2 linked regions of the Notamacropus eugenii genome follow. The protein of the gene in region 2 purifies or fractionates together with the protein of the main gene of each other region. This does not show direct contact. Links are inferred from orthologs where the notes say so. Each region holds a gene or a part of one and is shown on either strand. Other genes may lie near its edges.

What was found.
Region 1: the proteins of PLD1 (region 2) and ARF1 purify together in Homo sapiens (affinity purification with western blotting; 3 studies listed by BioGRID, with this or other methods). This does not show direct contact. The link is inferred for Notamacropus eugenii from reciprocal best matches to the Homo sapiens genes PLD1 and ARF1.

The regions. Positions count from the first base shown.
Region 1 is NC_092872.1:9,971,480-9,987,205, forward strand, and holds the start of ARF1 (ADP-ribosylation factor 1), read right to left. Parts: upstream 7,567-15,726; 5' UTR 7,409-7,566; intron 7,255-7,408; exon of another isoform or gene 7,101-7,254; intron 6,021-7,100; exon of another isoform or gene 5,926-6,020; intron 1-5,925. UniProt on the Homo sapiens protein: Small GTPase involved in protein trafficking between different compartments. Modulates vesicle budding and uncoating within the Golgi complex. In its GTP-bound form, triggers the recruitment of coatomer proteins to the Golgi membrane.
Region 2 is NC_092877.1:352,386,692-352,401,926, reverse strand, and holds the start of PLD1 (phospholipase D1), read right to left. Parts: upstream 5,736-15,235; 5' UTR 5,647-5,735; intron 1-5,646. UniProt on the Homo sapiens protein: Function as phospholipase selective for phosphatidylcholine. Implicated as a critical step in numerous cellular pathways, including signal transduction, membrane trafficking, and the regulation of mitosis.

The sequences.
Region 1 (15,726 bases), on a different chromosome or scaffold from region 2:
AAGTTCCCCATTTAGAACATTTAGTAAACAATCAACAAAAACAACTAAGTGTAAAAGGTGGGTGTGAGTGTGTCATTCTTTGAAGAAAAGAGCCAGATGACTGTTAACAGTCTGGGGATAGAGCTACTTGCCTGCCATTCCCTTAACTCAAAGATTCAAAGTTTAGAGTCAGAAAGTGTTCAAAGGTAATCTAATCCAACCCTGTTATTTTTACAGAGGAGGAATTGAGGTCGCATGAGGTTTAAGTGATCTAAACCAGTCACAAAGGTAATGAATGGCAGACCCTGGATTTGAACAAGGTCCTCTGACTGAATCCTACACTTTCTCACTCTATGTAACAGGATAGTTCTGAGTCTTCTATATGATCAAAGTAGAGGCTGCCCCCTAAATCCTTGTAATACATTTCCTTCTTGCCTTCAGGGTCAGTTCACAAATCATCTCTGCTCCAAATCTCTTTAGGGCTTTCTTCCTCTTTTCTCCAGTATATATTTATACATGCTATATCCACCTCAGTAGAATGTAAACACTTAGGGCAAAGACTATCATTTTGTCTCAGTTCCCAGAACCCAAGGCCTTGACACAGAAGGCACTTATTAAACATTTTCTTAAATTGGATTAGAATAGAATAAGGAGATAACAAATCAATGAATCTGGTAAAAAAAAAAAAATTACAGGAGAAGTTATGTTCCTAGGTGCTTCCCAAATCAAAGATTATGGCAATGTCAATGAATAGTGTTTTCACATGTGTGGTACAGTGAGAAAAGTCCTGGATCTGAAGTCAGGACCTGGGTTCAAATGCAGACTCAATACTACTAGCATGACCTTGGGTAGTCATTTAATCTCTCTGGGCATCAGTTTCCTCATCTACAACACGGCAGGAAGAGGTATCCTTCTAGAAAGCAAATTAGAAGAAGCCCTGAAAGGTCACTAAATAATGAATGCAGTGACTCAGTATCACTACAAGTCACATAGTGTGAGGATGTCAACAGGAAAAAAGGACCCTTATGTACAAAATATTTACAGGAGTACTTTTTGTTGTAAAGAACTAGAAAAGAACAAAACTGGTGCCCAACCACACTATTAAGCCATTAAAAAGGGTGGGATTCAAAGTAATCTGGGAAGACTTGTATGAACTTTAGATTCTAAACTCCTTGAAGTCAGGGGCTGTCTTTTGCCTCATTTTGTATCCCTGGCACATAGTAAGTACTGAACAAATGTTTATTAGCTGACTGAACAGATACAGAGTGAAATGTGTGAAACCAGGAGAACAATTTACACAATAACTGGTATAATGTGAAGAATTTACACGATAACGGGAACGTAAAGAACAAATAACTGCAACATTAAGAACTTTGAAAAAGGCTGCATGACCAGTCATAAACTCAGAAGACTCTTATGATGACTGGTGAAACAAGCTTTCTGTATTTTCAGACAGTCAGTGTGTGAATTTGTTTTGCTTGACTATACATATACTTGTCATAAGAGAGGGTTTTCTGTTTGGGAGACTTGGCAGGGGAAGCTGGTAGATAGTAATTAAAAAAGAACTACAATTAAATATTAAAATACAGGAAGTTCAAAAAGGGGACGTACAAGAACAATTTATTAGTATGTTAAACTTAAAATATAGTTTAAAAAAACTGTACATACAGAAGTTCACAGTTTTATATACAACCTTATTTTTCTGTTCTTTGTATAACGAAATTTTCATGTTTGTCAAGTTCATGATTAAAAAAAAATTTAAATGACAGTATTGGTCTAGCTGGGCAGAGTTGGCTTCTAAGGTCCCTTTCAGCTATACATGCTTCTAATTAGTGTTATCAGAAGACACCAATCATCACTTCAGTTCAATAATGCACTGATATTCTTGCTTACGTAACAAACATCTAGACAAGGTCTAATATTTTTGGCTTAAGTCACAAGTGTTTTAGACAAACCTAAGATACGTCATCAAAGAAATTCTATTAGTAACAAGTTATTAAGCAAAGGCCTCAGCCATCATCAACTGCAGAATAAGAACACAATTTTCATGTAACTATGTCTATAATTTTGAAAAGATTGCATCACTTCCAAAAGAAGTTGGAAATACCAAAAGTTATTAATATCTGCCAGTTAATTTCACTGCCTAAATTACTAATTGGCATAGTATTTTAAGCATAAATTAATGGATTCAATAAGTTAAATGCCAAGCTGTATTCAGTTTCATCTGCAAAAGGTAGGAAGCTATTACTTTTAACAGCAATTTTTAAAAGAACATTCTTTGTTCTCCTGTTGGCGTATTTATAACTATACCTGCATTTTTACCACTCAGTCTTATTTTCGGGAAAAAAAATTTTGGCCTTATCTATTTGAACCTATATATTTAAATGGGTAGAGCAAAAGAAATTTGTCAAAGGAAAATATTTAACAGTCAGACTTAAAAACACAAAGAGTAGGATGGTACAGAGAGAAGAGCACTGGCCCTGGAATCAAAACCACCTCTGTTTCTGTGTAACTTTAGACAAGTCATAAGTTTCCAGAAATTAGGGTGTGGACTAGATGGCCTCAGGTCTCTTCCAGCTCAAAATCCTGGACCTAAGATTCTATGTACATGTTTTATAATTTCTATCTTGAGAAAAATTATAATCTACTTCACAGGGTTATGAATATGCTTTTTGTAAACCTGTGCTAAATTACAAATATCATCTGATTTGATCCTCACGACAACCCTGGGAGACAGTTAACTATACTTGCTTAGACTCACAGCTAGTAACTATCTTAAGGTTCAATTTGAACTCAGATCTTCCTAACTCCAGGTACCAACACTCTAACTACTGAACCACCAGCTACTCAGAAACAGATGTAATAGTGAGGGCTAACTTGGCTGAATCACAGTGTATATATAAAGCTGGAAAAGGTAAGAGACTGGTTGTCTAGGGCTTTAAATACTGAACAAAGGAGTCTATATCTGGAGGTATCATGAACATGACATTATCAAACCTGTGCTTTAGGAATATCACTGGTAGCTGTGTGGAGCATAGATTGGAAGGGGGAGGTCAATCAAGAAGTTATACCAGTCCAAGTGAGAGGTGATAAGGGTCTGGATTAGGGTGGTGGCTGTGTCAATGGAGAACAGGAGTCAAAAGGATGCCAGATACCTCAAAGAGAAAGAAAGACAAAGTCTGGCAACACTATGTGGTATACAGGATAGTCCAAGTCAAGTCCCTCATCTCAGCTTTGCCACTTAACTATATGTAATGTAAGGTAAGTCTTTTGACGAGATGCCCTCTAAGTATTTGATGTCTTTAGAGCTGTGATGCTCTAATATGGAAAGTGAAATAGCATTCACTTCACAGGAATGTTGGGAAAATAAAACGACAAACTTATGTTAATCTTTGTAAGCTAATTACCTTGCTTTCTCACACAAAGCATGACAATGTAATACAACCATTGATTCAGAGTCATACCATAATCAATCACTGATAATGAATATTTGCCCCTATTCTTGAGTGGCCCCACCACTTAATAGCTATGTTTTTCCAGTTTCCGTGTTTACTTTTCAGAAAGTATTTCATTCTCCTCTTTCACTGTCAGGCCATAAATTCTAGTCTGCTCTTCCCTCTCAATTTGCTACTTTGGCCAAAATCCTGGATACTAGAGAAAGTCATTGAGAATCCTTTGTAAAGTTAAAACATTCTTTGTGAGGGTCTATCCTATAAATAACATACAGAAACATGTACTTGTATATTTCTGGATAGGTGAAATGTTACTGTATTTATAAAAACATTTTTAACAATTAGGTGTGTATAAACATAGGATCAGTTAAAAATTTTGTATTTCATATTTATAAATTCTAACAAGACATTTTAAAAATCCACCATTTACAACTTTTTCTTCAGCAAGTAGAAAGGCTAATGTTCAATATAATCAAAGTACTATCTTATCTGGTTTTTTTTAAATACCAAAAGATTATTTTTCAGACACAGGTAAGCTAGAAAAACATGTATAATTCTCCATTACTTATGCCAATGGGGAACAGCTGTAACATAAGAAGTACACAAGGAATTTCAAAAACCAAACTTCCCCTTTCAATAAAACCTTAATAATATAAAAAGAAATTTTAATTTAATCCCTTTTATTTTTTCTATTTATTTTCATATCTGTAGTGCTACATAATACAAATTGGATGGCAGGATTCGGATTAAAGTGGAATTAACTGATTTGTGACTACACATTAGCTCTGAAATTAACCATGAGATTCATACAATTATTAAAACGAATATCACAATAGCGTAAAAGTTTAGTAAAAATTCTAATTATAAACTCTTGAAACCTATCCAAGTCCTCCTCTCAACACTGTATCCTGCAGAAATTCCACCTCTGTATTAAAAGTACATTGGGGATTGTTAAAACTCCAACTCTGATAACAGGATTCTTTAATTTCACATTTTATGTCTACATTTTATGACCTCAATTTCTAAATTACTCTAGAATACTAATAAAAACAAAGCCTTCTCAAGGAACTAAGTGTGCAAAATGCAGATGAGCACACAACAATTTCATTAACATAAACTACAGAAGAATAAGAAAGTCAAACAGTACAAAAGAATGAAGGGATAAAAAAGGAAAACCCCCATCTACCTGCAAACGCAAATATCAGATCTGGTTCTCATAAAAACAAAAGTACACCTCTAACACTAAGACAGCAGTACACAAAATGGCACACAATGTAAATGCTTGATTTTTGTCTTTTTTTAAAAAAGGCTCACCACAACAGCCAACCATTTTTTGCAAGTACTCTGCTCCCTCCAAATCAAAATTTATTGTTAATCACTTACAGAGATGAAAAAGTTGAGATTGTAACTTTCCTTTGTTCCAAGTTACTCCTACCTTAAGTACGAGTTAGCAGGTACTAGGGTGTGTGGAATGCCCTTGTCATGTTGGGTAAGAGGTAAAGTGAATGGCTAGATCACATGATTAAAAATGCAGAACTGTTAGGGTGTAGGGCAACTGCTTTTTGCATGCCGACTATAAATCTTGCTTCAGTTATTTCCTATCTTTTAGAGTTGTAACAGTATCAGCTCCCCTCAAATGCTGAATAACATTTCTAAGAGTATGCCAAAACAAACTTTTTTTTTTTTTTTTAGAACAGAAGCAAGGGGAATTATGTGACATCCTTTTGAGATAGCCAGATACCTTCAGACTTGGGGGTTGTAACTGGTGAGCTGAGTTACATGGATAGACTGCTTTGTCCGTATATTTCCCTAAAATCATAGTCTATCACCCAAGTACTGGAGAGAACACATTTCAGTAACATGTGAAGATAAACAAACTAGGCTTGTGATTAATTTTTAAACCATTAAACTCCTTTTAACTTTGGCCCCAACTAACACTTGGTACTTCAAGGTCTAACAGTTTGAATCACTGACTATTACTAAAAACTAAAGTTAACTGACAAATTCATCCTCTCATAATACTTAAGTTTTAGTTTAGGCAAAGAACGATACCTAAGACTAGGACGGGTCACTTAGATGTGTAATCCTATGTTTTATATTTGATTAGAAGCACTGATGAAAAGATGAGGATAAAATTAGCATTTTACAAACTGCTGAGGAATTGTTCTAAAAGAGTAACCAGGAAACTGCTCCATCTCCATAGCCCCCCTACTAACTAGCTGTATGACCTTGGGCGTGTCACCTAACTCCCTCCCCCAACCAAATGTTCATTTATAAAAGGGGCAGAGTGGACTCCAATCCTCTTACGTCTAAAACTCTATGATGACATATTCTAGGAATTGTTTCCAGTGGCATCTGAAAATCACTCCCAAATTTATTTAAAACATCACTCAGTCTTCACAAATTCTCTTAAATCTCTGACCGGGCTCGAGGTGCCGTCGGAATAAATTAGTTACAACGAAGTGCTGTGTAATTAAGTTATTATCGGAATTACATTTCTACACGCGGTTCACAACCAGGATTATGCAACAGCAAGCGCCCAGCGGAGTCACTCCAGTGACGGAACTGTTCCTCCATCCCCTCTCTACATCTGGCCGAAGGGCTGACCCTACGGCAGGGACACCGAGCACAGGTCCACGACGACCACCGACAGCAGCCTGGACACCCGCTCCCCGAAGGTCTGCCTCCGATCGCAACGTCGGCGGCCAAGCACGCCGTTCTCCCGGGATCGGCACTCGGTGTAGACCGACCGCGCTCCTCCACAAAGGCCGGCGGTGTGGCAGTCGGAGAAGTCGGTCCGAGCCCCAGCCTCGGGTGACCTTGGGCAAGTCACCTCCCTTGCTGGCCTCGGGGCACCCAGCCGTGACCCCCTCACTCCGAACCTTAGGGGCGTGGGGTCGGAATCCGTCTACACGGCATTTCCTACAGCTAGGCGTTATTACAAACCCGACCAGGAACAGAAACCGGGATGCCTCCTCCTCCTCCCCCCTTCCTTCCTCCACCGCAAAATGACTCAAAGCCTCGGGCTCTCGGCGGTAACCTCCCTGCGGGCGGCCGGAGAACGGCTTCGTGTCCGCCTCGGGGTCGGGCCGGCTCCGGCCTTCGGTTAAACATGGCCCGCCCGGGCCAAGGGGGGCCCGAAGGAAGCTCGGCGGGGCCGAGTGTGAGAGGAGGGAGACCCGAGTTCGAACCCTGCCCCCGCTGGCCTCAGTTTCCCCATAGGGAACCGGCGGGGGTGGGCCTCGAGGGCCTCCAGGCCCCCGCTTCCGCCCCGATCCTATAACATACTAACAAAAGCTCCGCAGACACCCCACGACCCGCCGCCCCGCCCCCGCTCGTACCCGGCTCTCGCGGCCTTGCCGCCTCGCACACCGGAGGCGCTTCTCCGACCCGGCTCTCTGGCCTCCGCGGTCCCCGCCCCACCCCAACCCCGCCGCCCCGGCCCCAGGCTCCGCGCTCCGGGCCGCCCCCTCACGAACCCCCCCCGCCGTGGGCCTCCCTCGGTCGGAGCGCGGCCTTCCTCGCCGCGGACCGCCCCGGCTGGGCCCGGCCGCCTCGGGCCTGGCCTGCTCTGGCCCCGCTCCCGTCACCTCCCCCGCCCGGCCCCGGCGCCGAGGACGGCCGCGGCGGGGCAGGGGCCCGGGGTGGCGGAGGGGGGCCTCGCCTTACCTCCTCGCCCCTGAGCCTCGGGCTTCCCGTCTCCTCACCCGCGAGCGGCTGCCGCTGCTTCTTTTTATCGGCTCTCCAGGCGTTGGTTTTGCTCCCACAAGATGGCGGCTCCCGACGGCAGCCACGTCAGTGCCAGGGAGGGCCGTGGAGGGGGCTGGGTAATCGGCGGGCTGCGTCACCGCTTCGCTCCGCCCACTCCCCCGACTTCCCGCCCCACCCTTCCCTCTATCTCCTCACCCCTCCCTCCCTTCTTCCCTCCCCCAAGATTGCGGGCTAAGCGCTTCCGAGCCCTGCCGGGCCCTTCCTACCTCACTCGTCTGTCTCCCGGGGGCCCTCCGTGTCCTCCCCTTGTGCGCACGCTCACAGGCCGCTCCCCCACTCCTTTCCACTTTTACGCGCACGCATGCGTACCGCTCCCTTTCTCCCTGCCCTGCCTCCAGCAGGCCCCGGCCTGAACTCGGAGAACGCAGGCTGCGCATGCGGCCTTGGTCTCCTACGCTCTTTGCCCTACTTCCCGGGAGCCTCTGTGGGGGCCGGAGCAGGCAGGGGTCGGCCTCGTTTTTCGCTATGTAAAATCATTCGTAAATCGAAGCTCTACCAAAAAAACCCAACCACTTTTAGATTACCACCCTGCCCCCCCCTTAACTAACCGGACTTGTTTATTAATTGATTCCCTGGGGAAAGGCTTTAAGAAAACAATGCTTCTCTCCAACACCCCCTCCCCCTCTCTGTTCATCTCTTTAAGGTGCCCACCTGCTGGGGTCCCGTGCCCTCCAGGCGGCCAAATGCCCCCCAAGCCTTCCTTCCGCGGGCTCTCACGTGGCTCCTTCCCTAGGCCCTCGGGGTGGGGGTCAGCCGCGTCCACCCGACCCCCTCCTTCCTAAGGGCCCCGACACCGCGGGGGGCGAGGCCGGCCGGACCCCGCAGCCGGGGCCCCAACGTGGCTTTTGTGCCTTTAGGGAGACTGAGGTCTGCGGTGGCACAGGGCCTGGCGGAGGGCGCAGCCCGGACCCCGGACCTCCGGACCCCCGGACCCCGGACCTCCGGACCCCGGACCCCTGGACCCCCGGACCCCGGACCCCGGACCTCCGGACCCCGGACCCCCGGACCCCCGGACCCCGGACCCCGGACCCCCGGACCCCCGGACCCGGCTGGCCGAGCTCCAACGAGGCCCCGCGGAAATGCTCAGTCACTCAGAAACCCTTATCAAGGACCTAGTGTGTGCCAGGCACAAGCACTAGGGAAATGAGAAAGACAAAGGGCTGGCCACCGTCTACGATCGTCCTCAGCATTAGTAGGGTATTGTGTAATGTGCAGCGTCCATCGTTATCAATACATTATGTCATATGCAGAGACCGTTATCAATACATTATGTCATATACCATGTCCATCGTTATCAATACATTATGTCATATGCAGAGACCGTTATCAATACATTATGTCATATGCAGCGTCCATCGTTATCAATACATTATGTCATATGCAGAGACCATCGTTATCAATACATTATGTCATATGCAGCGTCCATCGTTATCAATACATTATGTCATATGCCATGTCCATCGTTATCAATACATTATGTCATATGCAGCGTCCATCGTTATCAATACATTATGTCATATGCAGCGTCCATCGTTATCAATACATTATGTCATATGCAGAGACCGTTATCAATACATTATGTCATATGCAGCGTCCATCGTTATCAATACATTATGTCATATGCAGAGACCGTTATCAATACATTATGTCATATGCAGCGTCCATCGTTATCAATACATTATGTCATATGCAGAGACCATCGTTATCAATACATTATGTCATATGCAGAGACCGTTATCAATACATTATGTCATATGCAGCGTCCATCGTTATCAATACATTATGTCATATGCAGCGTCCATCGTTATCAATACATTATGTCATATGCAGAGACCGTTATCAATACATTATGTCATATGCAGCGTCCATCGTTATCAATACATTATGTCATATGCAGAGACCGTTATCAATACATTATGTCATATGCAGCGTCCATCGTTATCAATACATTATGTCATATGCAGCGTCCATCGTTATCAATACATTATGTCATATGCCATGTCCATCGTTATCAATACATTATGTCATATGCAGCGTCCATCGTTATCAATACATTATGTCATATGCAGCGTCCATCGTTATCAATACATTATGTCATATGCCATGTCCATCGTTATCAATACATTATTATGTCATATGCAGTGTCCATCGTTATCAATATATTATGTCATATGCAGCATCCATCATTATCAATATACTATTATGTCATATGCAGAGACCGTTATCAATACATTATGTCATATGCAGCGTCCATCGTTATCAATACATTATGTCATATGCAGAGACCGTTATCAATACATTATGTCATATGCAGCGTCCATCGTTATCAATACATTATGTCATATGCCATGTCCATCGTTATCAATACATTATGTCATATGCAGCGTCCATCGTTATCAATACATTATGTCATATGCAGAGACTGTTATCAATACATTATGTCATATGCAGCGTCCCAGCGTCCACCGTTATCAATACATTATGTCATATGCCATGTCCATCGTTATCAATACATTATGTCATATGCAGCGTCCATCGTTATCAATACATTATGTCATATTCAGCGTCCATCGTTATCAATACATTATGTCATATGCCATGTCCATCGTTATCAATACATTATGTCATATGCAGTGTCCATCGTTATCAATACATTATTATGTCATATGCCGTGTCCATCGTTATCAATATAACATTATGTAATATACAGTGATGATCATTATTAATATAATATTATGTAATATACAGCATAATACTATCATAATCTTTCTTCCCCATTGACCAGAGCTTACTTAGCTCTGGGGAAGAGTCAATCCACAATATAGTGTTTATTAATTAAAACAAACTGAATGTGAAAGGTGAAAGGACCAGCTTTCTGGAGTTAGATCACACAGGGTGCCCCAAAGTCTTAATACAAGCTTTTTTTTTTTTTTAAGCTATAACTTAAAAGTGAAGTTTCATTTTTACTTTAAGCTTAAAAACTTCACTAAGACCCTTGGAGGGGCAGCTAGGTGGTGAAGCGAACAGAGCATCAGTCCTGGAGTCAGGAAGACCCTAGTTCAAATCTAGGCTCAGACCATTTACTAGTTGCCCAAATCACTTGAATAGGCTTCAGTTTCCTCATCTGTAAAATGAGCCGGAGAAAGAAATGGCAAATCACTCTAGTGTCTTTGCCAAGAAAACCCCAAATGGAGTCACAAAGAGCTGAACAGGACTGAACAACAAAAAGCCCCGTGGGACACTTTGTATATTTTCATTGATTTAGATCTGAAAGGGAGGTCCAAACCCCTCAATTTCAATCAATAAACATTTATTAAGTGCCTACTATGTAAGAGGCTAAGGTCTGGGAATCCACAAAGAGGCAAAAAGCAGTCTTATCCTCAAGGAACTTACAGCCTAATGATGAAGAAAAAGGCTCATAGTGGTAAAATTTGTCCAAGGTCGTATGAAGTAACAAGGAACAGACTTGGAATGCAAATGAGGAAGAACTCTTTCCTCTGTCTATACTTCCCACTAAGCTACTTGGGAATAGGTCTAGGACTAATTAGGAGGTTCCAGGCTGGACTTTCCCAACATAGTGCTTTAGGTCACCATTTTAAAGAGTTATTGAATCATAGGATCATAGCTGTAGAGAGGGAAAGGGACCTAGAAGTCATTCTGTCCTATACCCTCATTTTACAGGTATAGCTGAGGCCCAAAAAGGTCACTTACCTCAGATCACACAGGTAATAAGTGGTAGCTAGGTGTCACAGTGGATAGCCTGGAATCAGGAAGCTCTGCCCCCAGTCACTTAATAGCTGTGAGATCCTGGGCATGTCACTTAACCTGCATCTGCCTCAGTTTTCTCAGCTGTAAAATGGGGATGATAATAGTACCTACCTTAAAGGGTGAGAATCAAGTGATACAGTAACTGTAAAGCCCTTAGCAATGCCGGACACTTTGGTGGTGTGTTCACTTGCTGTTCAGTCATGTCTGACTCTTCAGGACGTCGTTTAGGTTTTCTTGGTAAAGATACTTAGGTTGGTTGCCATTTCCTTCTCCAGTTCATTTTATAGATGAGGAAGGGTGAAGTGACTTATCTAGGGTCACACAGCTAGGGAGTGTTTGAGGCCAGATCTGAAATTTGACTTCGGGCCCAACACTCTATCCAATGTACCACGTACCTGGCACAGAGTAGGTGATTAAGAAATGCTAGCTTCCTTCCCCCATCATTGTGCCATCATAATGAAAGGCTGAAAATCTGTAGGGATGAGTTGAGGCAGAAAAATAGACATTTCAGCAACATTCACTGTGTCCTGCCCTGTTCTGGTGCTGACCTCCTGATCTTGACTTTCCTGTCTGGCCTCCAAATTCCCACTTCTATCTTAGACCTCTTGGTTTTGGTTTATACACACTTGGGTCTCAGCCCTGGTGATAGCATAGTGATAAGAGCTGAGCTCTCAGGGATGTTGAAATAAAAGTCACCAGCAGGGATTTTAAAGTATTTACCATGTGGCAGGCACCTTGCTAAGCTTCAAGGTTACAAAAAAAGGCAAAAAGCAGTTCCTGTCCTCAATGAGCTTAAATTCTGGTGGGGGACACAACATGTGAATAACTTGTGTGTCTAAGATATATTCAGAGTAGATTGAAGGTAATCTCAGATAAGGCACTAGTGGCTGGGGGAGCTGGGAAAGCCCACCCTGCAGGAGATAAGATTTCAGCTGGGCCTGGTGGGAAACTGAGGCAACACATGGGGGAATAGTCAGTATAGAGGAAAGGAGACAGGAGCAGAGGATATTATGAGAAACAGGAAGTATCTAGGCCCACTTCTCCATTCATTGCACCCACCCAACTACCTATAGAGGACATAGCTATGAAAGAGATGAGAATTGAACCCATGGGGAGCAGATGAGATCTCCAGGTGAGATTGCATGGAGTGAAAAGAGGAGGCTCTGGAAAGACACTTGGGGGATCCCCAGAGGAGTGCAGGAGCTGGCTCAAACCATCTCAGGAAAGCCTGTTGTTAAGTTTTCCCCCTGGGAAATCAGCAAACACTACAAATTAGGACTTGATTTATTGTTTTGTCTGGGTTTAAGAAAGTGATGGATAAAATGTTGTTAAAGTGGATTAAATTTAACAGTGTGCCAGGGGACATACTTCCCCCTCCCCCTTCTCCCCAGAGGACTGATTGTTAAATATTTATCAGTACATCACTGGGGGCACACAATTAAGAGTGCATGATATGAATGAAGGGCCAGCAAAGGGGACTGAGGAGCATTTGGACTGATAGAAAGAGAACTAGAACAAATCAGTGTCATGAAAACCTCCAGGAAGAAAAGGTGGTCAATGATGTCAAATGCTTTATAAAGGTCAAGAATCGAGGAGGAGGAGGAATGAGCAAAGGCCATTAGATTTGGCAGTTAAGGGGATCATTGATAGCTTTTGGAAAGGGCAGTTTCAATGGAAAGAAGTCAGATTTCAGAGAGTTTAGAAGAGAGTGAGAGGAAATAGGGTGCTGAAGGGGATCTTATAATCCTTAAGACTCCATTGAAATGAGAGTTACTGTTAACACCAGGATAGATCAGCTCCCTTTTGGGGAAGAAGTCACCACCCTCATTCATTTACTTCCTCAAAAGCCCAGAAGGCCTAAAAGAAAAGAGGTGACCTTTGGCTGGGCGGGTGGTAGCCATAGCCTGTGAAGGGTTGTATGAGATGTAAGGCAGTGAAGGCCTCCTGTAGGGGCAGAGCATGCTAAATCTCATGTCATTCATTTAGGATTTCCTTCTATTTCAGACTGAAGCCCATCCATAACTGCCAATCCTGTGTGGCTCTTGTCTGGGCCTATAAATGACACTCAATGTGCTGGAAGCCTTCCTCGATTTCTCCAAATATCTTCAGGGTATCTGGGAAGCACCCTGACCATCCACCTGTCATTCCTTACCCTTAACTCCATCTTCTCTTCAGGTCGTGCTCATTTTTATAGTTTCAAGTTTATAAAGCACTTTCTTGACACCCTCTAAGTATTTGTCCCATTTTCATTTTTCTTCTTCTTTTATTCTTTGTATTATTTAATTTTTATTCTTTTTATTATAATTCTTTTTATTTTATTCCATTTATTCTATTTTATTATTATCTATTCTTTTTATTCTATTTATTTCTTTTTTTATTTGACCCTCTCCTCTTCCCCATGACTCCTATCTCCCCCCCTCCCAGAGTTTTCATTCTTTTCTTTTACTCTCTCTTTCACTCTCCTTCCCTTCCCCTCTAATGGTGGTATTTGTTTATATTTGATCTTGATGCCAATGACTTCTCCATCACCTAGCCTTCCCTCTCTCATATACTCCTGTCTCGTATACTCTTCCTGATGTATGCTCACCTGACCCTATTGAGTATACATATACATCTACAGATGACTATACGTATATATCTCCTTACCATATTGTGTGTGTGTGTGTGTGTGTATGAATGTGAATGTGATTATATGTGGGAATGTGTTTCAAGCTTCCTTTATCCACTTGACTTAAAAGTGAGGCTTATGGGATACTTTTCCTCCCATTCTCTCTCCATCCTCCCTGCTCATATGCTCTTCATCTCATGCACCGCTATTATGTGAGATAGTGAATTCCCTCCTCTTCCTCTTTTCCTTCCCAATACAGTACCGTACCCTTCCTATTTCCTTCTGCTCCTCAGACCATCAAGATAGAACAAAGACTAACTCTTTCTTTATTACCCTTGAAGATATTAAAGTTCTGAAAGCATACTTATTTCTTCTCTCTCTTAAGCAATCTTCACATGGTCCCTTTCAGATGTACTCTTCTATTTTTCATTTCCATTTCAAAGGATCCACTCAGGAAAATTTTATAAAAGGTCATTTTTTGCCCTGTAGAATATACTTAGTTTTTCTGGGTAGGTTATTCTTGACTGTAAGCCTTTTGGAGTATCCTATTCCAAGATCTCCCCTCCTTGACGATGGCAGCTGCCAAATCTTCAGTTAACTTCATTATGGCTCCTTGACACTTGAATGCTTTCTTTTATGATTGCTTGAAGTGTTCAGATTTGACCTCAGACACTAGTTGTATGACCTGGGCAAGTCACTTAACCCTGTTTGCCTCAGTTTCTTTCTGTATAAAATATATGGAGAAGGAAATGGCAAACCACTACAAAATAACTCTTGTAGCTCTTACAGCTACAACATTCTTATCTCTGAGAATCCACTTGCACTTGTGGAGCGACTTTCTTCTGGGTGTTTATCTCCTGAGTTTCTTTCAGCCCAAAGTATTTCTGCATTATGTTTGTTTTTTCCTTCTCTTTTCTCATACCTCCAGTCTTGGTTTCTGGACTAGGAGTTAGCACATGGGTCAAACTCTCCTCCCACATTCCTGAATGGTATATAGGAAGTCCTGCAGGATCCTGAGTTTGATGGCTAAGACTAGATATTACCTTCTGTAGGAACTGTATGACTTTGTCTCCTGTGGTGGAAACTGTCTGCCTGGATGCTAGGTCAGGTGCCCACTGCTTAAAGCTGGTCTGACCTTTTCTTCTGCTGCTGATTGGGTGCTGAGTGCTGTCTGGTGCTGTCTCTTGCTTCGGGATAGTTCCCCAATGTTGGGCACTGGTTTGGCCCTATTAACTCCATTTTAAAGATAAAGAAATAAAAACCCAGAGACATGAAGTTATTTCCTGAATAACATCAGAGTCAGGACTTGGCAGGTCTTTTTTTTCTTCTTTTCCAAGGATTACTTACCTTACTTCATGCCCAGCCCAACTCATCGATCCCATCACAACTTTACAAGATTCTTCTCCTCTTTTTCCCATCTCCTCCTTCCCACCACTTACCTCTGGACCTTTGTCCAGACTTCATGTTAGTCTTTCTTCCTAGAATCACCTCCTGCCCAAATCCTATTCATTCTTCCAGGCTCAGCTCACATTCCCCTTTATAATCACAGAGTCTTTGTTTTCTTTTCTGGGCTCATAGGAGGCATTAGAAGAAGATTGTGGTATAGTAGATAGAGGGTAAACCACAGAGTCCGGAGCCTATCCTTTAGACTTAGCGTTTCCCTGAGCATCTGGTATAATAAGTGTTTAATATCTGATAACTCCTGCTGGAGGAGATCTAAAGTTAGATAAGACACAGTCTCTGCCTTCTCGTCTCCTTGAGCTAACGGTCTAATAAGGAGATAACAATACTACAAATAATATATAAGTTCTTCAGAGAGTTGTAAATGAAATGTGAAGTGGGTGAGTAGGGTCGTGTGCCCAGAATACGATCCACTGCGGGGGATTCAGGAAAGATTCCTGGAGGAAATGACCTTTGAATTAGATCTTAAAGGATAGATAGGATTTTCAGTGGGGTAGGGGGAGTATAAATAGAAGGATATTCCTAAGCTTTGGGAATAGTCAGGAGGGGGGATGCAGGCTATATACAGGGGGGTAGTCTTACCACATTGGAAAACACAAAGAGTGATGGATTAGTGTGAAAAATAAATCCCCTGAAGTGGTGCGTAAATTGATACTATTGGAAGCTATAATATATAAAATACGTCCA
Region 2 (15,235 bases):
ATGCTTTAAATGCAGAAAATAAAATACATAGCATTACCAAGGAAACAAATTCTATTGAAATACAAGTATCCAAATATATTTTAAAAAAACAAACAAGTTCACAGCCCCCCTCGCCCTCCCCGCAAAGGCTAAGAACTTCTGGACTATAAAGGGTGGAACAAGGAATGTGCAATGAGGAAAATGTGAACAAGACAATTCCTTTAGGTATTTACCTGCTTGGGATCCAGGCAAGTCACTTAAGGTCTGGGTGCCCCAGTTTCCTCAACTCTGAAGCTGGGATAACAGTAGCACTGACCTGCCAAGTCTTTTGTGAGGATCCAATGAGACGATCAATGTAAAGCATCACCTAACGGTCAAAGGCTCCTCCTCAGTCAGCAAAGATCCTGACTTTCCAAAACTGCTTCAAAGTCAATCCTAGCAGAAGCTTATCAAGGGAGGAGTGATTCAGGTGATGCTGGAGATTAGAGCAGCATTTATCTAGAGCTTTAAGGCCAAGGCAAAGGAGTATTTTCCTATAAGATATAATTACTCTCACAGCTTTTGGGTGTAACCTGACATTGGTTGGAATCGACATTATGTCTGCTTTGGACAGGAATCCCCAATATCTACCTACCCGAAGTCCTGTAGAAACAATTCCCTCTCATTCCAGAGGAGAAGGAAGAAAGGAGGAAAAGTCCCCAGAAAGATATTGGTGAGAGAAAGAATGGGAAACGGGCCATAAGGAAGCAGAGGCCAGGCCACCACTGCCAAAGCAGCATCAAGTGACCTGGAAAGGAGAGAATGCCAAGAGCCCAAGGCAAAACTACAGCTGACCAGGCAAAAGTCACTGGGACAGATACACAGAGGTTGGAACCCTGGGTGCTGCTCAGAATGGAGCCCAGGGCTCCTCACTTTCCTGTCCTTTTTCCTTCAGGCTCACTCTGGAGCTGTTTCAGGAGAGTCCTGAACCCGTATCTGCAACTCCTGCTTCTTTGTTTTTTGTTTCATCATTTGTTTTAAAATAAATGTTTTTCTCTAAGATAACATGCTCCTCCATTCCATTATTGGTTCATGTGTGATCTTAGGTAAATACGTTCACAAGACAGACCAGAGATAGTAAAGTACACTGGGGAGAGGTGTAGATTTTAAACTGCAGTGTGTGTGTGTGTGTGTGTGTGTGTGTGTGTGTGTGTGTGTGTGTGTGTGAGAGAGAGAGAGAGAGAGACAGAGAGAGAAAGAGAGAGAGAGAGAGAGAGAGACAGAGAGACAGAGAGACAGAGAGAGACAGAGAGACAGAGAAACAGAAAGAGAGATAGACAGAAATAGATAGACACAGACACAGAGAGACACGTAAGAGAAACAGAAAGAGAGGGAGGGAGAGACAGAGACAGAGAAAGGGAGGGAGGGAGGGAGACAGAGAGAGAGAGAGACAGAGACAGAGACAGAGAGAGAGAATGAGAAGTAGGGTTAGATTGTTTAACTGATGCTTCTCAGTTAGGGGCTTGAACTGTATAAAAGATTTTATTGTTTTGTATTTTCATAGTTTACCCAAAACAGAAAAGGAGTACACTTGGACTTGACACCATACCTAAATGAGTGAGGTAGCCCCTGGAGTGAAGGAGAACAGGAATTAGATTTTCTAGGGAAGTGGCCTCAGGCATCTCCTAATCTTACTGTCCTTCCCCCTGTGGCCTTGCCTAGAGAGAGGAGATTCTGAGGAAACAAGCATCTTCTGCCCTTCCCACCTGCCAGTTATGTATTCTGTGAGATGGTAAGAAAACTGTACTCAGGTATTTAGTATCCATATAATCAAGAGCAAGTCACCTTCTCTTTCACTTTTAAAACTGGGGGGTGGCAATGTGGTGGATAGTGATATTTATTGTCCCCTAGCTCTCTCAGCCAAAGATGTGTGATTTCCTAATGTGTCCTCTGGCTCCACTGAGCTGAGTTGGCTTAAAAATCCACTAAACCTTCCCTGATGATCTTCAAGAGTTGTGGGGGAAGCTAAGTGGTGCAGTGGATAGAGCACCAACCCTGAAGTCAGGAGGACCTGAGTTCAAATCTGGTCTCTCCCAGACACTTACTAGCTGTGTAACCCTGGGCAAATCTGTTAACCCTGATTGCCACAAAAAAAAAAAAAAAAAAGGTTTATCATGGCTTCTCCCAATTTAGCCAGCTTGGACCTCATGTGACAGATATACAGTGTATCACTTGGCTAATCCTGGGAGCCCTTACAGTTTGCCAACAGTAAGTTGTAGAAGAATCACAGTCATTTCCAGCAAAGGAGGGAAGACCTAGACCAGGGAAATCAAGGCACATATATTATTGAAAATGTGCCTTCATGTAGTGCCTGTCCCAGGGGAGACAGTATAATTTAATGAAAAGAGTTCTGGATTTGAAGTCAAAGATCTATTTTAAAATTCTGACTTCCTTATTTATTACTAGCATGACCTTGAGTAAGTTACTTACTTAGCCTTTTTTCATCTGTAAAATGAAGGGAGTTAGGCTAGATAATCTATGTTAAGATATTAAGAGACGCTGTTTCCCAGCAAACAGGCTGTGCCCTGAGCTCTCATCCTCTAGATGATCTCAGCCACAGAAAAATCCCAGAACTGTTTCATATAATTATTGCATTGTAATATCTCTGAGCTCAGATAAACACCTGCTGTATCCATATTCTGGTTAGGAAGTTCTGCTATGAACCAGACTCATCACATTGTGACTATAGCCCTCATTCTCAGGGCTACAGCTCACTATGTAGTATAGGTCTAAGTATTGAGATCTCCTGCACATGCGTCCTTCCCTGCAAGCCCCTGCAAGCCATTTCCCTCACTTTGAAATTAAATTTCTGTTTGATTCCTGAGTCTCCTGTCTCTAGTCTGCTCTGTCTGGCTCCAGTTACCCATAGATTGGAGGCTATTTCCATCTGGTTGACATCTGCAAGATACTTTCCAGCTCTAAACCTATGATCTTATCATTCTGTGAATTAACCAGTTAATGCCATTAGTTGTGCTGGACTCTCTGTGACCCTATTTAGAGTTTCCTTGGCAAAGGTACTAGAGTGGTTGGTCATTTCCTTCTCCAGCTCATTTTACAATAGAGAAACTGAGTCAAATAATGTTAAATGACTTGCCCCAGGTTACATAGATCGCAAGTGGCTGAGGCCAGATTTGAACTTGGGAAGATGAGTCTTCGTGACACCAGGCCTGGCATTCCATTCACTGGGCTGCCCCCTTGAATGTGACTCCCTTCAAGTTTTTGTCCTCGATCCTTTCCTGCACAGTGAAACTTCCAGAGAGAGTCATGGATCCCTTCTGCTTCAATTTCTGCAGGAGTACTTTATCCAGCAGTGGACTGACATGTTTAACAACTGGCTCTCCAAAAGAAAAATTGTACCCAAAAGACACTTTTCAGTTTAATTTCCATTATTGATATTTCTTCCATTCATTTCTTAAGTCTAAGAAAGTAAAAGAACAAATCAAGCCCTGATTGACAGTTTGTGGATTTTCAGATGTAAATTTAACAATCAGCTCTCCTAAAGCTATATGAGTTGACTCCAGAAATCCCCTGCCACACCCCCTCAAGCCTGGGCTATCTGGCCTCTGCCCCTCCCAAATTACTCAAGGTCACTCTCTCTTCCAAAGTCACTAAAGAGCTCCTTCCTACAGAGCCCAATGAACTGTTTCCCTTCCTAATCTTCTTTGACCTCTTTGTTTGTTGACTTATGGACTGAACCAGTTTCTCCCTTGTATCATGGTTGGCTGTGTACTTGCTTTCCCATTAGACCCTTTCCTTCAAAGCTCAGCTCAAGCACTAAGTCTTTGATGAACTCTTTTCCTGATCCCTGAGTTTGCTTCGATCCCCTCTTCCCGATTCTCCTGGTATTTACTCAATATACGTGCACATGTTGCTGCCTCCAAAAATGTACACGCTCTCATTTCCTTTGTCTTTTTATCCCTAACACAATACCAGACACAAAGCAGGTCCTGGACAAATCCTCTTTTACTGACTGACTGATTTGGATTTCAAGGTTTTGTGTCCTAGGTTGGTGTCAGGGAAAGAACAAAGGATTTGGAATGTAGAACCTGGGTTTAAGCCCCACTTCCAATGCTTACTACCTCTGTGACCTTAGGAAGGTCACTCAAGTTCCCTGAGAGTTATAGTCTACTGAAACATAAAATGAGAGGGTAGAATCAAATAGCTTCTGAGGTCCCTCTCAACTCTAATCTAAGCTCCTAGGTATATAGTGCAAGGATCCTGGGCTAATTAATAAGTCTTTCATTTTGGCAGGACATCCAAAATCAAGTCACATCTCATTTAGCAGAATGTATATAAAACTCTTTGGAAACCCTAAAATAGTATACAAATTTTAGCTAAGGGGTTTCTGGGGGGGGGGGAAGGGGGTCTGGACCTGAGATTTCATTGGTATGTGCTGATCTAATAATAACAATATTGAATAATAGCATTTATATAGCTCTTTTCCTATCATGGCACTTGAGTATCACAACATTGTGAAGTAGGTGCTATCATTATTCCCATTTCACAGATGAAAAAACTGAGACTGAGAGTTTGTTGGCTACTTATAAGTTTATTAGAGAGTTCTCTAGAGCCCTGAGAAACTGAATGACTTGCTCAGGGTTGAGCAGCTGGCCAGAGGTGAGACTGAGAATAGCTACACTATGGCTTCTCATTATCTATAATAATAATAATAATCCCTCCTCTGACAATGTAATTCTTTCTCCTGGGCCAGCACAGGGTCTCCTACTCCAGAATCAGCCCTCCAGCCTCTGTCTCTTCTGTTCTGCTGCTAACACGCACACACACACTCACACACACACCATACACACTTGCACATACACTCACACTCACACTCACACCACACACAGTCACACACACACACACACACACACACACACACACACACACACACACACACACACACACACACACACACACACACACACACACACACACACACACACACACACACACACACACACACACACACACCCCATCTGCAGATTCTGCCGGCACTTCCTGGTTTATCTGGGATGCTCGGCCTTCCATCCCTCACTAAACTCAGTCAGGCAGTCTGCCGGCTTCCGAGGAAACTCCGAAGGGGAGGCCCCGAGCTCTGGCATCTGGTCTCTTATCTTGACCGAGTCCATGGAGGAAGGAAAGAGGGAAAGGAGTGAGGGAAGGAAAGAAGCAGGAAAGGAGGGGGAAAGGAAGGGAGGGAGGGAGGGAGGGAGGGAGGGAGGGAGGGAGGGAGGGAGGCAGGAAGGAGAGAAAGGAGGGTGGGAATGTGCTCTGCCTCTCCTGGCAGCCCCTGACTCGCCCCGCCTAGGTCAACCCGCCCAGCCCAGTGTTCAGACTTGCCCCAAGTTGGCCCTAGCTGCGCTGCGCCGGGGGAGATGCCAACTTCAGAGCAAAGTTGGAGGAATCGTGTAGCGAGTGGGGGGCAGCCTAGGGGGCAGTCCTCTCTTAGTTGTCCCAGCCAAGGGGGGGCGGGGAGAGGCCAGCTGTCCGGGGTAGGGGGAGTTTAGGAGGGAAAAGGGGAGGAGGAAAGCTAAGGCGACTCCCCGCCCCCCGCTGCCCGGCAGCGGGTCCGTCCAGTCCGTCAGTCCTGCGCAGCCTCCAGCCCCGATGGGTCCCCGCAGTCCTTACCTGTCAGTGCGCGGCAGGCACATCAGCCAGTACCTGGGGCTGCCAGCTTCTGGGAACAGTCGGGCACCAAGTGCCCCCGGAGCCCAGGGCAGGAGGGGATGGAGAAGGAGGAGGAGGAGCCGGGGTGCACAGGGGCTGGGAAGACCGGAACTGGCGGGCGAGCTGGCGAGGAGCTCGGCGGGCAGGGGTGGGGCGAGGCGAGGCGGTGCCTGTGCTCTTTTGGCTTCCCGTGCTGGGCTGATCCGGGCCAGGCTGCCCGAGCCCTGGGGAGCGCAGCAGGGCGCTCGGGGGCGCAGGCTGTCCGGGCACGGCGGCCCTCCTGCCGAATACGGTCCTCTGCCACCAGAGGCTCCTCTGCTGCCCTCGAAGCTTCCCCTCCTGCCCCCGCCCTGGAAAGTGGGCGAGCTACCTGGAGTTAGCGTGGCATAAGCAAGGGTCTAGATCGGGACACGTAACTTTTGTGTCACGGCCACCTTTGGCTGTGAAATGAAGCCTATGGACACCTCAGACCGATATTTGCAATAAAATATATATGAAACAAAACACGGAATTACGAAGGAAACCCATTACATCGAAATGCAGTTACCAAAATATTTTGAAGTTCACTTATTTCAAAGTTTGTAAGGTTAAAAACTCCTGCTATAAACTAAATTTTGGAGGGATTGTCTCCATTTAAAATGTGAGGAAAGGAGACTCAACCGTGATGACACATGCCCAGGTATCTAGTAAGTGCCACAGAGGTAAGTTCTGGACCCACATCATCCTGACCCTGAGGTTAGCGCATTATCTCCAGCATTTGATCTGCTATCACAGTTAGAGCTCACAGTTAGAGCTGAAATAAACCCGCCCTCTTATTTTTAAAGGTAGGAAAACTGAGCTCCAGGAAGGAGACCCAAAGTTTCATAGGAAGTGGCAGACATGAGTCTCACTCCATTTCCTCTGCCTCCAAATACATCACTATTTCCACTGCTTGGCATTTATCAATTCGATAAATATGTGTTGAATTAAATTGAAGGAGGGACACTTAAAGGCCAGACACCACAACAACCTTGGTTATCTTCATCGATTCCCTTAGGAAAAGGGTTTGGGAAAAGGTGTCCCGAGAGCCCTGAGTAACTGGACCAGGCCCTGCTGGGAACTAGCTCTCTGGGATTTTGTTTTGAATACAGTCCAAAACCATCCTAATTACAATAGCACATCCCGTTAAGAGTAAAGACAGTAACCCTGGCCACATGCACATGAAGAAATGACGACCACTTGAAAGCAAACCCCGGCTGGTAGCCTTGGCCAAGACTTACCCAACAACAGCCTAGCACAAGCAGGGAGTTCTGCACACAAAGACTCTGGGGCTTGGAAGGGATAGAAATCATGCCCAAAGGGAGGGGAAGTGGGAACTTCCAACCCTTCAGAGCAGACTCCTACATTTACTCAGTCTACTCCCTCCCCCCCACCCCTTATCTTCACTTTGCCCCTGGAGTCCCTCTTTTCCTTACAATGGAAGACTCATCCTCCCATCTCTACCCTCAGTGGAAATCAGTGAGCTCTCTGGAATCCTGCAATGCTGACAGATTTTTACAATTAGACATGTGGGGTGCTCTATGGGGACTAAGCATTGCCTAAGAAAAGTTTGGCAAGTTGGAGAAAACATTGCTGAACAACCAACTGCCCATTCTTTCTTCCCCTCTTTCTCAAGTTTTTATTAGTCACAGATGACTTGATAAGTGTTGTGTGTACTAATAACTGGAATCTTACAGCTGTCTGGGGAGATTACAGGGCTTTAGTAAAGGCAGCAGGATATAAAGTTACTCAACGTGACCAAAGTGCTGTCGGTTAAACAGTTGGCTCCGATACCTGCAACCATCCATCTTCATTACTAGCAGTAATTAGCAATACCAATCAGAGAGTTGTTCCCAGAGGTAACTTAGCTTCTGCTTCCCTGGGCAGAATGGACCAGAGGGGCCCCTGCCTTGTGTTAGCTGGCTGAGAGGCCAACCTGGTAATCCATGGAATGGAAAGCATCAGCATTCCAAAGCTGATTTAACTTTGCCAGGGAGGGTTAGCTAGGCTATCCTTCCACATTTCTCAAAATGTGGAGAAAAGGCGGAGAGAGAGCCTGAAGAGGCAAGAATGGCAGGGTTAGGGAAGCAAGGGCTTTACTAGGTCCTTCCTATTTATGTCTCAAGGCAAGGCCTGTTCCCTTCAGTTTCCTCATCCAGGTTGCAGTTTCCTCATCCATAAAAGGAAAGGCTTGGATGATCTCTAAAACCTATGAACTTAGCCATTATCTTGTAGTGCTAGATAATGGAAGAAACATCTCATATTTTATAACCCCCTTTGATTTTGGCCCCTGGGTAACCCATGGCTATGGGGCATCAAGGTGGTGCAATGGATAGAGCCCTGGGCCTGGAGTCACAAAGACTTCTCTTCCTAAATTCAATTTGGCTTCAGACACTTACTAACTGTGTGACCCTGGGCAAGTCATGGTTAACTGCTTCAGTTTCCTGAACTGGAGAAGGAAATGGCAAACCATTCCAGTATCTTTGCCATGAACACCCTAAATGGGGTCACAAAAATCCAGATGCAAGTGAACAGCAGCAAAACCCACAGTCTAAAGGGATTAGATTTAGTTCAGGATTCTGTTTTCTTATGACTTTTTGACTGGAGATGTGATTCCATTTATATAGGGAATTTCCATTGAGGACCTTCCCTTTCTGACGCAGACTGGCAGGGATTGGGACACATTAGGATCATATATTTAGAGTTGGAAGGGATCTCAGAGGCCACCAAATCCAATCCCATCATTGTAATAGAAGAGGAAACTGAAACAAAGAGATTTGCCCAGGCCACATATTAATTGTCCGAGGCAGAATTCAAATCTAGTGTTTTCTGACTCCAAGTCTAGTGCCATATCCATTATGCCATGTTGCTTTTCAGTAAGAGCTTAATAAATGGCTTTTTAAAAATTTCATTCATCTATTTATTCACTCATTCTTTACAATTTATACTTAGAGATGTGGCATGCTGAGGTTAAGTACACAAAATCAGTCTATGTCAGAGACAGACGACCTAGGTGTTTCTGTGTTATGGTCTTTAACCACTGTGCAGCATAACCATACCTGCCCCATCTCTAACCCATTCTCCAGAGCAGCAATTACTCTATATGCATGTTCTATCATGGCAGCTAGGTGGTGCAGTGGATAGAGCTCTGAGACTGAAGTCAAAAACACGAGTTCAAATTCAGCCTCAGACACTTACTAGCTGTCCACCCCTGGGAAAGTCACTTAGGCTCTGTTTGTCTCAGTTTCCTCATCTGTAAAATGAGCTGGAGAAAGAAATGGCAAACCATTCCAGTATCTCAGCCGAGAAAATCCCAAATGGTGCCACAAAGAGTCAGACACGACTCAATTATACACAACAACAAAACAGTGATAATAACAGCACCTGCCTCCCAGGGTTGTTGGGAGGATCAGATGAGATAAGATTTGTAAAAGTGTTTGGAACATAGTGGGAAATTAACAATTCATATTCCTTCCTTTGTCCTATCCAAGCACACACTACCCCAACACACAGTGTGTACAGCAAAATAACGATAATAACGTTAAGGGTGATGATGATGATGATGATGATGATGGACGATGCTGGCATTTGTTTATTTATTTAATTAATTTTATTTTTATGTAATGTATATTATAAATAAACTATGTATTTATTTAATGTTTTCTAGGTACTTTACCTGCATAATTTCATTTGAATGTCACAGCATCCCATTGAAGTAGATATAGTATCAAGGACATTTTTATGCTTGTTTTCCACATAAAGAAATGAAGTCTCTGTGAGTTAAATGACTTGCCCATGGTTATCACGCTAGTAAGTGTCACAGATAGGATTCACACTGGTCTTCCTGACTCCAAACATTGCACTCAATTTAAAAACCTTGTCTTTTGTCGGATTTCAGGGGAGTGGCATTGTGAGTAGAGGCAGGAAGGGTTACATTTTATTATTATTCAATAATATTAATAATTATTCAAGTATGTCAATATAATGTATTCATTATTAATATTCATCAAGTAATATTAATTACTTGATTATAAATATTAGTCAAATTAATGTTAATTCAATGATATTTAACAGCATTCCATTACTTCTTCATATTAATAAAGAAACTAAATTAATTGTAGCAATTACTATGATTAAAGAATATTAACATCAATTAATATTTGATACTATGATAGTAATAATATAATTAATTATTAATGGCATTATGTATCACTTATTTTATTGTTTTAAATAATGAAATAATATTTAAAATAATTAATTATTACATAGCACTTTGAGGTATAAAAAACACTATGCATGTATTATTTTTCTTTATCCTCACCTGGGTCAGATACATCCCAGAAATGCTCTCCAATAATGCATCATGATTTAGTAGAAGAAACACTGGATTTGGAGACAGAAATCATGGTTTCAAATCTCAACTCTGCTCCTTGTTTTTTGTCACCTTGGGCAAGTCATTTTACTTCTCTGGGCCATGGTTTTCTCATCTATAAAAAGAGCACCTTGGACTCAGTGGCCCCTGGAGTCACTTCTGCGCTTCTATGATCTGTGTCTGGTCTGATTCACATGGTCTAGTGCTCATTTTCTTCTAGCTACAATTCTGCTCTATTCCCCCATTTCTTCAATTAAGATCTTACTCTGTCTTTCCACTAAGGTTCTTCCCTTAATACAATAGGTTCAAATAAGTTCAAGCCCTCCCCCACTTCTCTAGAGATTTTTTTCCCCAAATACTTATTAATGTTTGAATATGTTTTTGTTTTCTCTGTGTGTTTATAAAATTTAGATTCATTTACACAGTAGAAATAAGAAGTAGTAAGAAGAATATGAAGCTGAGTGAATGACTGCTTCAATCAATGAATCCATATACATTTGTTAAATGTCTACCTTGTATTAAATTAATATTATTATTAAGCGTATGTCTTATAGTATACTAGGTGCTAGAGATGTAGAGACCAAAATGAACAGGATCTTATATTATATTGGGAAAAGCAATATGCACACATGTAAGCATATGCAAAATATTAACTGTATAACCTTAGGAAACTAACTTAACTTTTCTGGATCTCAGTTTCTTCACCTATTAAATAGAGATGTTCATAGATTCTACCCCACTGGGGCTTTTGAGATTCAAATGAGATTGTGTGTGTAAAAAAGTTTGCAGACCTAAAAAGTCCCTATAAATGATAGATTTTAGAGCCACATGTTAGGGATAAAGTCCATAGAGCAGAAGAAACAGTGTGGGGTAGTGGATAGAGGAGTGAGGAAGACCTGAGTTCTAGCTCTGTTTTCACACATCATAGCTGTATGACCTTGGTAAAGTCATTTTACATCTCAGTGCCTCAGGCAATTCTCTAAAATTCTAAGTGACAAACAGTTACCAATCTATATCAGCGAGAATTTCTATTTCTGAAATTTCCTCCATTGATGATAGCACACATTCAGAGCCTCAAAAAAAAAAAAAATCCAAGGCTATTAGACAAATAATTATGTTTAAAAAGCATCCTGAAGGGGTTGGTAGTATTAATGTTAGCACACATAAAATCATTTCCATTTTAATTGCTATTCATTACATTATAGCCTAATTAAAATAGGTGTGACTATGTCATCATTGTATAGCAAATAGTAATAATAACTTAGAGGTTTTTAATGTGATATACTTGTGATCTCATGAATCTTCCCAATGATCCTGTGAGATGGGTGCTATTATTATCATCCCCATTTTACAGAAGAAGAAACTGTGCCTGAGTAGTTAAGAGACTTGCCCAGGGCCTCACTAGTATTTGAGGTAGCATTTGGACTCAGGTCTTCCTGACTCCAGATCCAGAGTTCTATCCACTACACCTCCTAGATGCCTATACAAAATATTGCTCATAAATTAAATATAAAGCATTGAAGATCTCCAGGATTTGATTGCTGGCTCTACATCCAGCCATTTTTAAAAATTTTTGTAACCAGAAGCATAAAACTTTCTCAAACTCGTTTATGCATAATGAACCTTTAGTTTTTAATGAAGATGTTATAAATGTAGCAATGCTAAATGTAACAAATACCCAAGATGAGCCAAATAGTTATGCCAAGAGATTTAGTCATTCCCTGATCAGATGCATCAATGAGTCAAAAACATTATCCATTGGGTCCTCCAATGGTACATTCTAAAGTGTTGACTACAAAGAGGGGAAAAAGGGATATAATTCCTCTTGAAACCTAAGTCTGATCAATTAGAACATGACTAAAAGTAGTAATGGCTCCTCTCTCTCTCTCTCTCTCTCTCTCTCTCTCTCTCTCTCTCTCTCTCTCTCTCTCTCTCTCTCTCTCCCCCCCCCTCCTTCTCTTTCTCTCTCTTTTTCTCTCTCTTTCCTCTGTTTCTCTCTCTCTTTCTCTTTCTCTCTCTCTTCTCCATATACATATATATACATACATATATATTATGTAGATATAGATATATAGATGCTTCATTTGATCACTTTATTTGAGATCATAGAATTTTAGAGGAAGAAGGGAACCTCGGAGACCATGTGAGCCAATTTCTATTTTAACTGAATGATTGATGTGCATGCCCAAAACCTAGTGGGCACAGGAAGCCTGACCCACAACGATGCCTGGAGAAGGTAGTACAAGATGACACAGTTAAAAAGACAAATCACTTAATCCTGATAGGCTCAAAAAAACATTGAAAATCTGGGAATTATAAGATCATCAATTTAGAAGGGAAGATTAGATCAACTTCCTGGTCCTCTCTGATGTATGTTTTGCTAATCTCATGGAGATTTCTAGCCCAGTCCTGGAATTCCATTACTCTGTAACTGTTCTTTTGCCACAACCCAGTCTTGGTGTGGGGTGGAGGGGTTGCTTGTTTCTTTAGTTTATTCTGCTCAATGTGGACCCAGGCTTGGTCACTTACTATCTACATCATTCTGGGCAAGTCACCTAATCTCTTTGGTCATCTCTTTCAGAAGTTTCCTCTTCTATAAAATGGAGGGATTGGATAGTATGATTTCTAAGTTCCCTTACATCAGTAAATTCTGTGATACCACATGTCTCACACCCAGATGGAAGTCATTCGATCTGGACCTTGAAAATCCCTGGCACATCAGACTTGCCTTGGGTAGGATACAGCAATTGAACCACAGAGAGGCACCTTGCCCAAGGTCATACATACATCTACTTAGTGACAAGCCTGGACTAGTACCAGGTTTCCTAAGTTCTAGTCCACTTACTGTAGGTCTCTAGAAGTTCTGGGTCAGATTTGTGTTATGCAGTTCTTCTAGTTATATCTTAGTCTTTACCTAGTTTTTCATACATACACACGCACACACACACACACACACACACACACATACATGGACACCATCATTACCATTATATCATTTCACTCCCAATCTGCATGCTGGGTATTAGCTTCATTAGCTTCTTAACTTCAACATTATACAGTTTCAGACATTCTCCATGGCACATGCTCTTTGATATTTACTCAGGCAATTTTTGCCCCCAACCACAAGGTGTTTATACAAGCCTTCATTTAGTATTACATGCTTTTGGCTAAAGTTTAGATTTCATAAGACCATGTTTGTTTTGTCAGAAAATGCGTTAGAATAGTTGCACTTGTTCTAAATGTTTACTTTAAAACAGGAGAGCCCAATTTTTTTGAATAATTTTCTTGGAATAACTGCCCCTCACATCTCTGCCCCTTTGCACTTTCCTGTTATAACTCATAGATTTTCTGTGGTCTAAGCATTTATGAAAATATTTGCTTGGCGGATTTTTGCTATTGATTTTTGAAACATTTTTATCGCCCTGCATTATTTTGTAGCTTCACCTACACTAAACTATTGCAAAATTATCTCAGAATTCAACGCCATACAATTATATTAGATTGCAAGCTTCTATGCCTAAAGGACCATAAAACTGTGTATGCCCTTTAACCCAGCAATAGCACTATTAGGTCTGTATCCCAAAGAGATCATAAAAAAAGGGAAAGAACCTACATGAGCAACAATACTTGCCACAGCTCTTTTTATGGTGACAAAGAATTGAAATTGAGGTCCAAGTTGTGGTATATGAATGTAATGGAATACTATTGTGATATACGAAAAGATGAGCAGGTAGACTTCAGAAAAACCTGGAAAGACCTAATGAGCTGAGGCTGAGTGAAGTGAGCAGAATCAGGAGAACGTTGTACACAGTAACAGCAACATTGTAACAATGATCAACTGTAATTGACTTAGCTCTTCTCAGCAATGCAATGACCCAGATGGAGGATATAGATTTCTTGTTACCAATTCTAAAATAAGCCCAGAAGGTTAGGCATTCATACACCAAGGATCAGTATGCTACTGCCCACCTCTTCCATAATCTTGAGTGTTACGTTTGGTCCTTCCCTTGAGTGATTATCCACCAAGGAATACAGTTTACTTTGTGATAAGGGACTGCATCAACTAAATGAACATTTCTCTGTCATCTTCTTTCTCAAACTATGGGATCACGCTTACTTTTCCTCTCTTTAATGTTTTTGAAATTGGTTTGCAAGTTTAATAAATTCCTTGGTTGTAATTGCCCACTGAATGAGGCAGTCACACCAGAAGGCTGAGTCTTGAAGGAACCTGTGCATTCATTCGATGAATGTGTAGTAAACACACTCTGTTGGGCCCTGGAAAGTACATCTGTGCATCTTTAATACTGCTCTCCCGAGTTCCCCTACCCTCTTGACATTTTCCTCTTTTGGCCAAAGGGATGGGGTCAGAAAAAACCCTTACCCTTCCGGCCAATAAAAGAGAGACATTTATAAGCCAAGATGCCACAAGAGGCCAGTCAGTCCAGGATGAGATGTTGCCCAGGAGGTTAATTCCTTAAGGGGACCTATCAGGGAAGTATATCGCAGGTATCATTGATGTTAGCCATTATTTGCTTGCATGCAGAAAAGGGGGAGTGGGTCAAGAAAATAGAGGGAGAAAATTCCAAACACACACTTAAATCAGGGCTTTGGTGGTTGGGCACATAACAAAAGGGAAGAGGACAGAATACTCAGCCCTCATCCAGAATCTTGGGACATATCTCTCCTCTGGATGTCAGTTGCTTCCGGGTCCCTACTACAGGTGCCTGGAGGGTTCTGCCAACTCAGGAGCAGGGCCTTTCTTCAGATGATCCAGGAGTCCACACTCACCAGTTTGACAGCTGTGGGAGTAGTCATAAGGACCTGGTGGGTGCGCTTAGAGAAAACTTCTTGCATTGATCTTTGAATCTGAGTTTCTGGTCAGCATAACATAGGTCCTTAGTTAAAGAGTCTAAACAACACAGGCTCAACACAGTCTCAGAAACACAAACTAGGTTGAAACAATGCAATAAAGTTTTTTCTCTTAGTTCCCATAATTGTATAATTACATTTCAGGTACAGATCATGCTACTTAGAGGTCTCACGATGGACTAGTTCTGAAAAGGGAAATTTACATGTCACCAAGGTAACCAAAACAACTTCAACATAAACATCTTGAAACAAAAGACAAATGCAATACGGTAATTATCACCGATACTAACT